Caenorhabditis elegans: one gene and its partner. The protein of the gene in region 1 interacts with the protein of each later gene in a pairwise test. Each region holds a gene or a part of one and is shown on either strand. Other genes may lie near its edges.

Region 1 (7,321 bases):
AAAAAGCATCAAGTTCCAAGTATGTCAAAAAATTTATCATCCTAAATTCCTTTCCATTGAGCCACTGCTCCAATGCAACGAAAGTGCTCAGATTCAAATAAATTCCCGGCATAGGAGTGCTCAGGATTATTGAATATAGGAATTGAGGTTTCAAATATGACATTATGATTGCAGCGTGATTGTTGAATGGTTCCTGCCATAAGTGTACTTCAAAAATGTGAGCTTTCAGTGGTTTCTGTCGAGATGCCAACATTCTGCTCAGAATTTCTAAGAAAATTGAATTTGTCCGAAGATCCTGGTCGGTGGGTATTTTTTTGTCTTGTGATTTTTCAACCGAAATCAAGGAGAACTTCTTGAGCACATCCATAGTACTAAGTGCATGCTCCAGGTGCAAAACGGAAACATCAAAAAACTCCAGGCGGTCCACAAACTCTTGTTGGTCATGATTCTCAATCACGCATCCATTGTCTCTTTCTCTATAAGCAATCCACACATTTTTCACCTCAACTTCCCCAGAATCCAAAGTTGTTTCAGTTTCCAATATCAATTTTATCTGATCTTCTCCAATTTCCAATCGAACATCTACAAATTGGGACGCATCGAATTGGTCTATTGAAGATTGTAGGATTTGGGACCGGTTAACGACAAGACTGAGAAAGAAGTATTTTAGGTGTGTTTTATTGGTATTAAACAATAACTTACTCATCCTGTGACATGCTTCTTGCAGATGTTTCCAAGTTGCCTTACGGTAGTTCCAATAATAGCTGAATAAAATTAAATGCATATGTAGTAAGCCTGGTCAAACAAAATTTCCAAAACGTTTTCCATTTAAAATAAAATAATCAAGTAAAATTATAAAAAATATAAAAATTTTGGGCCAGGTATACTGCGTAGTACATAAAATTGATACTCTTGTCAGTCAAATGAAATTTCGGACTGAACGAAATTTAAGAATGAGAAATATAAACGCTGCTGTTTACGCAAAGAAGGTAAAAAACTGATACGAGTACGGCATGGCACGTACATAATCACTGTTGATAACTGAATTATGTTGGATGTAAATCAATGTATGACAATCGCATGTGCAAAATAGTTTTCTTATCATGGAAGCGCAGAAGACTAGAACAGTGGACACTTTGAAAGTGGAGTACTAAATTTGTTTTTGAAAGCTTACTTTATTTTTTTTGCACATAGTACGGAGAGAGTTCATATCAAAAGATGGCTAGTGAAATGTAAGTTGTTTACAGTTCACAGCGACCTAGAGCAAGAATCGCGAACAAAATAATTTTGAAAGTTCGCAATGGGGCGAACTTGCATTGTTCATTTTTTACCGTTGAAACTATCAATCAGTTGTTTTCTATGGACTATCTTTGCACGGGGTTCTGGCTCGACCCCTCGGTGTATTTTGTGCAAACACCGTCACGCGCAAATGCATACACTTTTTCAACGCGCTGCGTGAAAATTCCTCTTGCGATTTCAAAAAAAATTTCCCGCCATTTCAGTGTCCAATGGAGCGCGGGGTCGAGTCAGAACCTCGTGTCTTTGAAAGAAAAAGAAATTTAACTTCGTTTTGCAGGCAATTTTGGAATGATAAATATTTAAAATATCAATTTAAAAAATAATTTTGAAAATCCGGCCAGTATTGACGGAGCCTTAGGCATTTTCCCAAAAAATGAAGAAAGTCTTGATGTAAATATTCACCAAAATCTTGAATTTTAGTTTTTAAAAAAACAAGCTGTGAGGAGTGTGCGGTTTCTGATAATAACGTTTAAAGTAGTTTATTAAATATTCTGAGAAAATTTATTGATTACTTCAAGCATAATGGTCTAAAACAGGCACAAATTTGAAAAACCCTACTTTCGTTTTTATTTTCAATTATTTCTCATTTTCAGTACTGTACAATCTAAAAATTCAATTTTCATAGCAAAAGGACAAAAATAACAGCAATTGGACACATTTTGAGAAAAATTTAGTAGGATAAACATTGAAATAGAGCAATATTTTTCTGTGAAATCTAAAAATTACCATGATTTGAAAGTATTATGATGCATTTTACAAAATAGAAGATCCATAATGTTTGTTTTATTTCCGATAAACACCCTGCCATCAGTTTTTTGTTGTTTACTAGGAAAAAAGCGAAATATGCGTTCTTTGTATTTTTTGAACTGAAAATTACAACGATATATTTAATAAATCTACTGGAATGTGTTTTTCTGATAAATATTTCCTTATTCACCCAAAATTATCGATGAAAAACAGGAAATAAACACTGTCAAAGTTTCACTTTTGATGCAGAATGCAAGCGCGCCCCACTGCACACTTCAGATTCTCATTGGCTGAAAATTCGTGCGCTAGGTCGCTGTGCAGTTTTACTTATAACTTCTGCAAGTATACAGACCGTCTTCACAACTATCGCAAATATTATCTGCCATACTATCCAAACTACAAACCGCCAGAGATGTATCTCTACTCATTAAAATAGAACAAAATGAAATTAAAATTTCCTTCTATGCAAAAGCCACTGGCATAACTTTTGCTGAACTAATCAGTAGAGGAACTCCAAATGGATGCTTCATCAAGTGGGATGATATTGAGGAACTTGCAGATGGCCGGGAGTTTTTTGAGACTTCAGTAGCTCATTTGGAAATTATACTAGAGTCTTGGCCGCAGCGTATCTCGGTTTTATCAATATACTCGGGCCAGGGCGCCGAGGAAATAAAGGAGAACATTCTGAGAACTCATGAGCTATTCCTTTACAACTTTGGAGAAATGCTCAAATCACGAAAGTTTCTTCTGAAAGTAGCAGCTTTTGATGTAATACTATGGAAGGAACCATTGAACAATCACCTGTCAACTATCATGTCATGCCTTGACCCGAGATTCCTGGTAACTATAGTCCTGAGCTCTTCAGATGAAGGAGCTAGAGTCGATTGTGAGCAATTGGTAAACATGGAGCAATGGAAAAGTGCAAGACGAATAAAAATGGATGGCATTGAAGTGACAATGTCGATTCGGGATTTTTTGCGCTTTGATGAAGCGATAACGACACTACATACAATTACTAGTGACGACCTGGTTCTGTTGAAAGATGTAAGTTTCTGTGTCTGCCGGCTCTTAAGTGCGACGTTTTTATCCAAAACAGTCTTGAAATCCCTATAGGTTCAATGATACTTATGTGGGTGCGAGTCATCTTACACAGCGTCCGACGTTTTCAGAGTTTAGCGACTCCACAGAGATCTTAATTTATAAGAGTAAAAGTTCATATCATTGAAGCCTGCGCAAGTATCCATAGGACCCAATTGAACCCAAATTCTGATCAGATATTCAACAAGACAAAGGTTAAAGCCAAAACCGAGTAACATTTTTTTTTTGGAATAAATCTAGTACCGGGCCCGAAGTTTAGCCCATTAGAAACACATCAGAATCCCCACAAGACCAATTCTATCTCCCTACCTTTTTCAGCACTTCATACACAACCAAAATCCAAAGTCTCTCACATTGAATTTTCAAAACTTTGTCAGTTCAGACCAAAACAATGAAGATCAGGCTCATGAGGTATTGGGAACTTGCGATGAGATCAAGTATGTGAACGGCAAGCTGAGTAGCAAAAAATGGCGGTTTCTAATTGAAAGATCTCATTTCTCTATTGAATATTTTCAGATTGAATTTAAAAATTCCCAGTTTAAATTTTCTCGGTTATGATTATGACTATCAAATTTGAATAAAAATGTTTTAAAAATACACCGTTATTTTGTTATTTTTCTCTGGCGTTACTTGGTAGATCATTTTCTGCATTTGACCTCCCAACTTCCCACAGCATTGCCTCCTCAATTCGTGAGATCAATGACTCTTCTTTCTGAATTTGACCTACTCTCCCCCCGCAACATTACTTCTTCCCCTCTCCCCTTCTCCACAACGCGAACAACACATCCCGCGTTATCGATTAGTTTGGTGCAGCGTTTGCCTGTCCTTTTACAGCTAACCAGTCAGTTAGTTAGTCATTCGACAAATCTACTCTCATCTAAACATGACGTCTATTCACAGTCCAGTCACCCGCAAGGAGGACACCGAGCTCAAGAGACCAGATCTCAGAGGTTAGTTTTTAAAAAATTATTTTTTGTAACTTTTTTTGCAAATGCGCAAAACTGGCTTGTTTCAACAACTTTTTAAATCGAAAATTAATGTATAAATGTAGAAAACGGGTTGTTCTATCAGAAAATATTTTTTATTTTTGTTAAAAAGCTTGAAAAAGTTCTCAAATAGTGCCTGAAACTAGCCGTTTACCAAAAAAACGTTTCACGGCGCCCTTTCGGGAAACTGCAACTTTCAAGCACTATTAAAGGTCTTTTTCGCATTTTGCAACAAACAAGAAATTTATTTTCAGATAGAAAACCCAATATTAGATCACAAAAATTGGATTATCATGTTGAAATGAGCCGGTTTTGCTCATTTTCCAACAAAAAAAATGCCGCACAGCCTTGCCTTGTATTGGAAGCTGCAATTAATCTATATTCCAGGCAAATTCGTCTGCTCCTCCTGCTCCCAAAACTTCCAACACAGTGCCTCCCTGAACCGTCATCGTCAGCTGATGCACAGCAACGAGCACACTTGTATGATGTGCGAGCGGGCTCTTAACCAAAAAGAGACTATCCGTGAGCACATGAGAAATGAGCACAACCTGGCTCAAGTGTTCACTTGTGGCTGTTGCAATTGGACTTTCGCCAGCAAGAGACAACTCACGGAGCACACAAAGTGCATTCAGGGAACTGGAGCTCCAGGAGACACCATTCCAATCGCCAAGTCCATTAATGCACCAGGATCACTTATTCAGTCGACAATCCAAGGAACTCCACCAGTGGTGAAAACCGGTCGCAAACGTCCCATGGGAGGTTCGTTGTCGCCGTCATCTTCCGTCTCCACATCCATCTCTTCCCGTGATGCCTCCGGATCGCCTCCACCAACTGAAGAAGAAGCCGAGCGCAAGGTGCTCTTTGACAACGCAGTCGACACTATTCTACAGAGCAAGTTCTTCACTTATCAGCAGATCACTGAAGTCGACACTTGGGTCAAAATCATCGAAAGTGCTAATACTCTTGCTGACACACTCCAACGCATCAAGAAATCACAGAAGGTAAGCAGTAGAGTAATCCGTGGATAAAAATAAAATTTAAATCAATAATTTTTCAGGTCAAAGCAGAAGGGCCAGCCGTCGAGAGCAAGATGATTCCAGAGAAGCACGTCAAGCAGGAAATTGAGTAACTATTTTATTTCCTATTTTAACTCCCTATTCAACTGATGTTCAGTTTTATCATTTTGTTTCATAGCAATATTGAGTGTCTTCACAGTATTGTTAATTCTACCTCACTTTCTTCAATTTTTCATTTTTAACGATTCATTTTTTTTCAATACACGATTGTTTTATAATAGGCAGATTTCGAAAAACTGTTCGTTAGAAAAAAGATAACAGAGGAAAACATTTAAAAAAATGCTACTTTTAACATTGACGGGGCAAATTTGGTCTTGAAGTTATTCCATATTAGTTTCGTTACCCAAGTTGAAAACGGCACGAATTTCTTCAGGAGATTTTCCTTTAATAGAGTTGGCAATACTTTTACAAGTAACATTAAAAAGACCTTTGATATCCAAATAAGTGGCTGCCTGAAAGAAGGTGACGATTACAGAAATGCATTTTATGGGGTTATTCAAATAGGCTGGGAAAATTTTAAAAAAATGTATAAATTATGTAACAACTGTATTCACATAAATTTTGCAACATTACTTGAATAACCCCTTGAAAGTTGACTACTTACCAGCACCAATTCGAACAAAGTACCTTTGTCAACTTTAAGAAACTCGACATCCCATTCACCAATATCGTCCGTTCGCTTTTCTTCCACATTGTCTGGCGGTTTGGGGATATCTTCAGCATGATACTCACACCATTCGATAACTTTCTTGAAAATCTCAGAGGTGACATTTTTCAATGGAATTGGTTCGCGCTGATTCAATACAACAAAATCAGCGAGAAGCTTGGATTGATTGGCAATTTTCGGAGAAACCTGACGCAAAAAATTAAATCTCTGTACTAATAGTAAGTCAATAAAACCTACAATGAACTCTACATCATCAGAAGTAACAATTTTGACATCTTGCTCTTCGCTGCTCATCGTTAGTTGTTGATTGAAAAAAAAACTGAATGAAAAGAGGGTTACAGGCCTTTTTATGAGACCAGCAGGGTCTTATCAATTTTGATGTACGTGACTAATACTCTTCCACAACCATCTTAAATCAATTTTACGACAACAAATTTCATAACCGCCCAACAAATTTATTATGGAACCATGCTTAAATTGAGAAAAAAGTTTTCGAATAGATATATTCAAGAAATTCTAATAGTTTCAAAGTTCATTGTATCAAATTGAATTCTGAACTCCGACTCCTCATTCCTGTATGTAATCGAACCAGACGATCCTCCTGAATAATTCTGCTCAAACACGTTCAAAATGTCTATAGGATCATAATTGAACATTCGGAAGCATCCATGTTCAAAATCACTGGACTTCAGCAGTTTCTATAATAATTCTTTGAATAAAAATGCTATAGTTGATATTTGCTCACCTCTCGGATCAATATTGCATCTGACTTTGATAGAGATTTCAGGGAAACATCAAATCTCGAGAAGTGAAACAAATTCTCAATTGGAATCGTCATAATACAGTTCCGACTGCTTTCAAAATTTTTTGCCTCTTTCCATTGTCTCATATCAACCAACTTCTCAATATCGGCGTTATCAGTTGGCGAGCCCAGCACAATCTCTTGCAGTATTCCTGATTTAAAATTCCGAAGTATCTTAGCAACTTCACTGAATGAAAATCCCTCTAGTGTGATCTTCTCTATGTATGAACAGTTTGAATTTCTCAAAACCGTGTTCATAGTTTTATAGATTTTCTGATGGTCGCTCTTTTCGACTGATATGAATAATTGGAACACTTTCAGCTTAAGCTTTTTATTTTTCATGACCACGGACCAATCATTCAAAGCTGTTATTGCATAGTTTCCACTTTTCACAAGCTTTTCTTGATCATCATATAACACGTTACAGTTGTCCTTCCTGTCCAGATAGATTATTTCGTTTTCATCAAATTGCAAAATTGATTTTGTATTGTAGATTTTCAGACTAATTTTCTCAACGTCAATGCTCAGGTTGTCCATGAAGTGGCGAAGATTTTTAGAGACTTTTCGCATCACTAGTCTGAAAAGTTTTTTTTGATAAATTTACACATTGATATCAAGCACACTTTTCTTTTAATCCCAGTTTGTT
Region 2 (9,132 bases), on another chromosome or scaffold:
TAAAGTTAACCTCTCTACGAACGGCTTCATCCAAAAACTGTAAACTCTGCAATATTTTGGAAATAAATTAAGAATGTTTTCAAAACTTCAGGGTTCGCTAAGTATAAGGAATACATCAATTGCGAATTAATGTCAAATTCTTTATCGGGGTGGTGAAACATTAGTGAAAATGGGATCAGATTTTTCAGATATTTAAAGAAAAATTAATACCTTGCTCCTTATTATTTTCAGCAAGTAAATAAATACCTGTAAAACCATATTTTGTTCCATTATAGAACATAGCCGCTCTAATTTTCATAAATATTAAATCGATTTAACCTCTAATTCTATATTCTGGGACGGAATCCAGATGTTTTTTTAGGTTACAATCTAAATTTTTAGACCAGGGTCTGAATTTTTTTGATGTTCTTGTTTCTAAAAAGTAATGTTTTTCTCTTTGCAAAGCGTGATCGAAATTTTTTTAATTAAAAATCAAAACTAGCAATGGAACGGAAGCAATGGAACTGATCGTGAAATTCTTAAAATGTTGATAATGAAACAGTAAAAAAATTTTTATAAATGATCAACTGCGAATCACTGGCTAAATCTTGAGAAGATAAAACATTAGTGATTGAATTTTCCTTATATTTTTGAAAAAAATAAATGACATGTTTCCGGAACTATGCATATTTGCAAAAATGGGGTTGGCATTTATTAATTAATGACGTGCTCCTTATATATTTTCAGCTAATAAATCCCTGTAAAACCATATTTCGCTCCATTACAGAACATAGCAGCTCTTATTTTCATAAACAATTAAATCGATTTAACCTTTAATTATATATTCTGGGACGGAATCCAGATGTTTTTTTTAGATTAAAATCTAAATTTTTAAGCCACGTTCAGCCAAGGCCTGAATATATTTTTTGTTTTTTTTGGCTGAAAACTAATGTTTTTACCTTTCCAATGATGAGAAAAATGAACTAACATCGTGAAACTCTTAAAATGTTGATAATGCAACAGTAAAGTTTATTTTGGCTAAATCTTGAGAAGATAAAAAATTAGTGATTGAATTTTCCTTATATTTTTAAAAAATAAATGTCGTGTTTCCGGAACTAAGCATATTTGCAAAAATGTGGTTGGAATTCATGTATTATCTTACTGTAAAGTTATAACTTCCCAGACAAAAAAATAAACAAAATAATCTTTTGAAAACTTGCGTGCATATAAGACGCAATACCTATTTTTTCTCAAAAATAAATTCCTGTTAAACCATATTGTCTAACATTACAGATTACATTACAGACCATTGCCAAACACATCCGCTCTTATTTTTATAAATATGAAATCTGCACTGCAACTTTTTTCGAACGAGGGACGAGGCAAAAAGGTTTCTAGGCTATGGCCGAGTCCCTGACAAATTTCAGCGGCCATTTATCTTGCTTTGTTTTCTGCGTGTTTTCTTTCGTTTTTCACCGATTTTTCCCGTTTTTTCTTATCAAAACTAATAAATAAATATTTTTTGCAGATGCTAAACCAATTTTCAAGTGAAAAAATTGTGAATTCAGTCGGCAAGTAGCGGTAAAAATGGTCAATGTAATATGATGGATTACGGGAATAAAAAACCCAAACTTTTTCCCAAACATGATACATATGCTGTTTAGATGCTAAAAGTACCTGATTTTCATAACGAGACCGCTGAAAAAGTTTTGAGGTTTTCAAAATTCAACTTTTTTGGTGTAGAGATTTTCACAAAAAAAGTTGAATTTTGAAAATCTCAAAACTTTTTCAGCGGTCTCGTTATGATAATCAGGTACTTTCAGCATCTAAACATCATATGTATCATGTTTGGGAAAAAGTTTGGGTTTTTTATTCCCGTAATCCATCATATTACATTGACCACTTTTACCGCTACTTGCCGACTGAATTCACAATTTTTTTCATCTGGAAATTATTTTAGCATTAACAAAAATATTTATTTATCAGTTTTAATAAGAAAACACGGGAAAAATCGGTGAAAAACACAAGAAAACAAAGCAAGTACAAAATGTCGTAAAATGCGGTGTATTGTGTGCAAACACCGATTTTTCGCATTTTTTCTCGGCCCTCGTTCGAAAAAAGTTGCAGTGATCTGGCATATCATTCAATACTGAATCAAAATAATGCACATCTTAAGTGATGTTAATGAAACAGTCAAAAATTTGAATTCTCAAAATCAGATCAACTTTTAATTTTTCGCTTTCAACGCCCATAAAAACTTTATGTTTCCCTGTTTCAAATAACGTTAAAGTATTTTCAACTTTTTCCGTATTCTATTCTGTACGGCCAGATCAAATCCCATGTTCAAACTTCAATACATGTAAAAAATTCTCGCTGTTAATATAATTTTATTTCAAATCCACAAAAAGAAAAAAAACCAATTAACCAACAGTAACAATAGGATCTGTATAAAACTGTGCTCCTCTCTTCGTCGTCAACTTGTCCGCCATCTGAGAAGCCAACATCTTCCACTGGCTCTCATAAATTGCAGAAATCGCGGTCACTTGAACGGTCAAAGGGACAACAAACGGACTTTTCGCGTATTTTCCATCGGTTCCAGCCTTCGCTGCACACTTATAGTAGACTGTGGATTGTTGTAGAACACCGTAACCCGCGGTGTCGGCGGTGCACTCGGTTACTGTAGTAAGTGTGACGTTTGGAGGCGAGAATGTGATGACTGGTGGGTTTATGTCGTTTAGGGGGATACTGTTGGCTTGCAATACGTCGTTGATCTGAATTTTTTGAATTTTTAAACTTTTTTGGTATTGTATAGTGTTTTTAGTGTTTTAGCGCTCTACTTGGTTCCATTATTATACAAGTTTTGAGCAGATAATTTTTTTTGGTTCGTATGGACAAATTTTAGCAAGCTCTCCGAAATATAATCTGGTAAATGAAATATTTGAAACAGTTTTTTTTTGATAATGGGTATAAATACTTTGTGGCTTATTTTGAAACTTAATGTTTCAGACTTATTTATCTTTAAAAAAGAATTCAAAAGATCGACAAACGAATTAATTTTATACAACCTGAAAAATGAAATATTTGAAACAGTTTTTTTTTATTGATAATGGGTATAAATATCAGGTTGTCCCATAAGTTTTTGTACTATTTTTTTTTTTGAAAAAAATTTATTTCTCTCAAGCGACAAGTAGTACTATTCACACAAGTATTCACCATTAGTGTCCACCACTTGTTGCCATTTACTAGGTAACATCATGATGCCACGGGAGAAGAAATCCGGCGAACGCGATGAGAAGAAAGTGGAGAGTTCAGTTTTGAGATGCTCTTCGTCGTCGAATTGCTTGTCGCGCATGTAGTCACTGAGAGACAAGAACAAATGGTAGTCGGTTGGTGCAAGATCTGGAGAATATGGTGGATGCGGTAAAACAGTCCAACCAAGATCTTGCAGCTTTTGGAAAGTCTTCTTGGCGACATGAGGCATAGCATTATCGTGAAGAAAATATAGTTTTTCATATTTTCCGTTGGTCTTTTCTGCAACTCGGTCCAATTGGGCACAATAGTAATCAGCAGTGATAGTTTTATTAGTTGGCAACAATTCCCAGTGCACGGGTCCTTGAACACCCCACCAGACACAGATCATTATCTTTTTTGGGTGAAGATCAGGCTTTGGCGTCGGTATTCCTTTCTCACCGATCGGAAGCCATTGACGTTTTCTGGAATGGTTAACATAGAGCACCCACTTCTCATCTCCAGTAACCAGATTGTTCAGCCAATCGAACTTTCGACGAAAAGTTAGAAGTTGAGTACAAACGTTGACCCGAGTGAGCTTCTGTGATGCCGAAAGTTCATGAGGCACCCAAATTCCAAGTTTTGAAGTAAAACCAAGGCGACCCAAGTGACGTGCAATTGTGCTATGACAACACTCAAGCTTCTCTTCCATTTCACGAAGACTAAGACGAGGCTCTTCCTCCACCAGCTTCACTAGGTCTTCTTCATTTAACTCTACCGGTCGCCCAGAACGTTCTATTTCTTCGAGACTGAAGTCGCCGTTCTTGAACTTTTGAAACCAACTCTTTGCTGTATTATAAGAGAGTGCTCCCTCACCCATCGCACCGCATATGTTTCGTTCCGCTTTCATTGCTGAATGACCAAGACGAAATTCATAAAGAAGAAGCAATCTAACGTCTCGACGTTCAAGTTTGATGATTGTCATCGTGGCAAAGTAGAAATGGATGAAATGAATCTTTTCTGGAAGGGGACGACCCGACCTTGACACGACCTACGATGAAAAAATTTTAAAACTTTCTAGAAGTTTTGGAAAAATATTTGAAAAAAAGTACAAAAACTTATGGGACAACCTGATACTTTGTGGTTTATTTCAAAAATTAATGTTTCAGATTGTTATCTCTAAAAAAAATAATTCAAAAGTGATAACAAAATAGATTTAGTGGTAGGTAGACACATCTCTAGGCTCTTCTCTTTCAGCATACTTTTTTCAGTCATTTCTCCGCTCAAAATGTGCGAACAACACAGCCATTTGCGGTAACGAAAACACCCCAACCAGCTCTCCGAAACCGGGCTGCGATGTCCGAGCGGTTAAGGAGTTGGACTTGAAATCCAATGGGCATTGCCCGCGTAGGTTCAAATCCTGCTCGCAGCGAATACTTTTTGGAAAATATTCCGAATTAAATCTACAGGCTTTTAAATAAATTTTTTAACTCATTGACCGCGCACCTAGTATGTCGCTTTTGAGTGATTTATCAGTTTCTAGGAGAGAACAGAATTATTTCGATTATTTGCAATTGGCTATATCAGTATAGTGAAACAGTGAGAATTTTTTGTGTTAACACAATGAAAATAGAAAGATTGTAATATAATCATGCATTTGTACTATAGAATATAACATGTTTCTACAAAATAAATTTTCAATAAAACGTAAAAATTTTATTTGTAAAAAAGTATGTTTTATAATATTCTTATTAGCTCACTGTTATCTTACTAGGGAGTGTTTCAACTCTACGGTGCCTAAAAAGTTATTATTATTGTTTTCGTCAAAAAAAAAATTGCCTCCGAATTTTATGGCCCACTTATGGGTTTTTTTTCAATTATTGTAGAGATTGGAATATGCTATACTTTTCTTTAAAAGTGGCAAAAACGTAGTAATTGGCACTTTTCGAAAAAAAAAAGAAAATTTCAATAAAATTTTTAATGTTTCAAAAGTATTTCATTAAACTTTTTATGAATCGCTTTTTATTGAATAGGCTGGCTTGATGGAAATTAAGAAAATATATGGCTTTTCATCAAAACTAGACTAGAATTTATAAAGCTTCTGAGAATTTCAAATTTTTTTCAAATAATAATGCAACCGTTAAACATTATGCGATGTGTTGCCATTTCACATTCTTTTATAAATTTGGCAAAATTATCCACCACCATAGTTGGACATTTAATAATTGGACTTTTAATAAATGCAATTATACGAACTCCAAAGAAAACTGTAGCTGTTCATAAAAATTTTGTGAAACAGTAGAAATTTTTTCTGTATTGGGATTTTTATTTAAAATTGCATTTAACTCACCGCACTCTGCACATCCGACACCACAACTCGCTGAGCATAGGCTTGATCAAACTGTCCGTTTTCAAATTCTGCTAGAGAATCATAGGTGTATAGAGCAGGAGGGTTCATTTCATAGCTGAATGTTCCCTTGGAGCCCAGCGTTCCGGTACCCGGAGCACAGGCTCCGGCTGTGGAGATGAAAAAGCAGAGGAGCAGTAGAATTTTAAGCATTTTGAAGGTTCAAATCACAAAAGTTAAAAGTGAAGTTTAAACCTTACCTCAATCCTTTTTTATACCGTTTCCTTAACCTTTGCCCCACAATAGCTTATGTTTGTTTCGATTTGCCAAAAATGTTTATATTTGTCATAGTTATGGCATCATTTTATTACTGATTGTTAACACTTTTTCTTGTGGGTGGGTGTGCCAACAGTAAGAATAGGTAAAGCATACTAAGCGGGGGTAAAAGGGAACTCGTAAAAATTTGAAACCCAAAGATCGAAAAATTGTCAAACAGCCGTTACTAAAATTTGTTTGAAGGCTGAAACTGAATTTTTTTTTTGTTGCAAATTTTGAAGATTTTGTTCCTGGATTCGATTTGAAAACTTTAAATACAATGAAAATCCAAAAATAGGTGGAGCCTATTATTGATTATACTTTTATCGGAAGCTTCTGGTTTAATTTTAAATTGTTTTACACGTTTGAAAGCGGATCACTATCAGAAATAGATCAAAATGTGATGAAAAGTTTTATACGCACGCGGTGAAACGGTAAATTTCGAAATTCAGATTTTTCGATTTCTTATCAATTTTTAAAGTCATTGATGGAGGAGTAGCGCCAGTGGGGATATCATTTAAAAAAACACTCCAAAAAACTCAAATTTTTTACAACTTCCAGTCAAAGTTTTGGCAAAAAAAATTGTAGGAAGTTTTTTTTTGATCGACTTATAAAATTATGAGTGGCAAAATTTGAGTAATAGTCACTTTTTACAGTGAATTTTTAAAAATCCAATTTTTTTTCAAAAAGTTTTACCTTTAAAAAAATGTAGATGCTTTCTTTTAAACCATTGTGTTACTATTAGATTTTTTTCCTATAACAAGACAGTTTTCTGTAAAAACCACCATAGTCACTATTCCAACTTAAGAGGTTTTGCTTACATTTGACTACTTCTGGCAGATATTAATTTCCTGGTTACGTTTCAATTTTTTTAATTACCAAAATACAATTTGAGCGTATGAATAAAACCCAATTTACAAAGAGTATAATAAAAGCATGTTGAAACAATAAAAATTTTAGAAAATTTTTTTTTTCCGAAAAGCGCCAATTATTAAGTTTTTGCCACTTTTAAAGAAAACTATCCCTAAAATAATTGAATATTACCGTTTGAAACATAAAATTCGGAGGAAAACATTTTTTTTTCAACGATTTCCAAATAAGTGCCTAACAGAATGGTTGCCATTTTTGAAATAAAATAAACAACATTTTCAAAAAAAGTTTTGAATAGTTTTACTTTTTTTGAATTTAATGTTTTAAATTAATTGTTTTGAATCATATCATTGAAATTTTAAGATCTTTCTCATGAAAAAGTTCTGAAATAATAACTAAAATATCAGTGACGCAATATAAATATTGTGAAACATAATTTTTATAAGTACAATTTTTCTGTAGAATTGTTGTATTCCATAGTACAAATCATGATTATATTTGCCTTACAACCATTCTCGCTACATTGTGTTAACACAAAAAATTTCTGACTGTGTCACTATGCTGATATAGGCAACTGCAAATAATCTGAATGGACACGATTTAAAAATATTTTTTATTTAAAACAATTTCAAATAACTGATAAATCGATTTAACGCAATAGGTTAATGTTCGGTGCGGTCACTACTCCAACTTAAGAGATTTTGCCCAAATTTGATTATTAGGTCGTTCAATAAGTTTTTTCGTTTTTTTCTAGTTTTGGTTTTTTCTTGGATAATATTTTGCGGTTGTATAGAAGACTGTTAGTAATAACAAGCCCAACAATATCAGCCATATCGGTCAACTTCCAGATTATTTAAAACTCAGAACTATGATGACGAAAAAAAAATTTTTTTTCGAATTTTTTCATTTCTTTGTGAAATCAAAAACTTTGTATGCGTAGAGGTATAAGACAGTTAGTTAAACAAAACTAAAACATTTCAGAACCAGGCATAGCTTATTGGTAGCGCTACATCTGTTGGAAGTGTCGAAAACGCTTGCAAAATTGACTTTTTCATGTTTGAGCGGTGCTAACTTTTAAACCATGAGAGATATACAAAAGTAATGTATCACAGCATTAATGTACACATCATCAGCTACATTTTATCAGTATGTTACATTGTTGTCCCTCCTCACGTTTCTGAGTTACAGTCGATAGAAATGAGCTTGGTCCAATTTTCAAAAAACCCTAATTTTTCACGTTTTCGCCTGTAACTCCGAAATCAGGTGCCTGATTAAAAAACTTCAAATTAAAAATAAAGTGATTTTAAATTATAATCAGGTACACAGTTGACCGTTTTGTCATATCATATGTGGGCAAAGATATGAACGGTCAACAAACAAAAAATGCATGATCGAAAAAATATAGAAAAATATTGCAAAAAACTGTTTTACTCTTTCCGAAAAGAACATGAGCGTTTAAAAACACATTTAATATTTTGATTACTAATTAGGCTATCATAATCAAAAAACAGTTAGAGGTTATCTTGTAAAAAAAACTGTTGGATTTTTTTTCGATGTTTTTTTTTGAAAATTTTCTAAAATTTCCGCAACTTTTCTTTGACAATTCATATCTTTGCCCACATATGAGATATGACAAAACGGTCAACTGTGAACCCGATTATAATTTAAAATCACTTAATTTTTAATTTGAAGTTTTTAATTAGACGCCTGATTTCGGAGTTACAGGCGAAAACGTGAAAATTAGGGTTTTTTGAAAATTGGACCAAGCTCACTTCTATCAACTGTAACTCAGAAACGTGAGGAGGGACAACAATGTAACATACTGATAAAATGTAGCTGATGATGTGTACATTAATGTTGTAATACATTACTTTTGTATATCTCTCATGGTTTAAAAGTTAGCACTGCTTAAACATAAAAAAGTCAATTTTGCAAGCGTTTTAGGCACTTTAAACAGATGTAGCGCTACCAATAAGCTATGCCTGAGTCTGAAATTTTTCAGTTTTGTTTAACTAACTGTCTTATACCTCTACGCATACAAAGTATTTGATTTCACAAAGAAATGAAAAAATTCGAAAAAAAATTTTTTTTTTTCGTCATCATAGTTCTGAGTTTTAAATAATCTGGAAGTTGACCGATATGGCTGATATTGTTGGGCTTGTCATTACTAACAGTCTTCTGTACAACCGCAAAATAATATCCAAGAAAAAACCAAAACTAGAAAAAAACGAAAAAACTTATTGAACGACCTAATAATTATGCCAGATATTAATTTCCTGGTTTTGTTTCTACTCATGATACAAAATATTATCAACAAAAGATAAAGGGTACATCCAAAAATCAAAAGATCGAAATATTGCCAAACAACCGTTACAAAAATTTGTTTGAAAAGA

Evidence for each region. The genes of interacting proteins can lie anywhere in the genome.
Region 2: the proteins of lsy-27 (region 1) and Y51H4A.8 interact in a two-hybrid assay, tested with the Caenorhabditis elegans proteins (one large-scale study listed by BioGRID).

What each region holds. Positions count from the first base shown.
Region 1 is NC_003283.11:17,346,768-17,354,088, reverse strand, and holds lsy-27 (Zinc finger protein lsy-27), read left to right. Parts: upstream 1-3,895; 5' UTR 3,896-4,027; coding exon 4,028-4,094; intron 4,095-4,517; coding exon 4,518-5,131; intron 5,132-5,187; coding exon 5,188-5,259; 3' UTR 5,260-5,424; downstream 5,425-7,321. Other genes in the region: F47H4.2 (DUF38 domain-containing protein), read right to left, coding at 1-650, 703-716; fbxa-134 (DUF38 domain-containing protein), read left to right, coding at 1,219-1,232, 2,397-3,090, 3,463-3,702; skr-5 (Skp1-related protein), read right to left, coding at 5,527-5,658, 5,811-6,059, 6,111-6,167; fbxa-189 (F-box domain-containing protein), read right to left, coding at 6,380-6,571, 6,619-7,252, 7,299-7,321. UniProt on the Caenorhabditis elegans protein: Involved in regulating left/right asymmetric differentiation of the gustatory ASE neurons. Plays a role in modulating expression of LIM/homeobox protein lim-6.
Region 2 is NC_003282.8:16,572,749-16,581,880, forward strand, and holds Y51H4A.8 (DUF4136 domain-containing protein), read right to left. Parts: upstream 5,802-9,132; 5' UTR 5,768-5,801; coding exon 5,558-5,767; intron 5,462-5,557; exon of another isoform or gene 5,441-5,461; intron 5,255-5,440; exon of another isoform or gene 5,233-5,254; intron 5,010-5,232; exon of another isoform or gene 4,986-5,009; intron 4,763-4,985; exon of another isoform or gene 4,741-4,762; intron 4,640-4,740; exon of another isoform or gene 4,558-4,639; intron 3,025-4,557; exon of another isoform or gene 3,004-3,024; intron 2,881-3,003; exon of another isoform or gene 2,860-2,880; intron 2,751-2,859; coding exon 2,400-2,750; 3' UTR 2,346-2,399; downstream 1-2,345.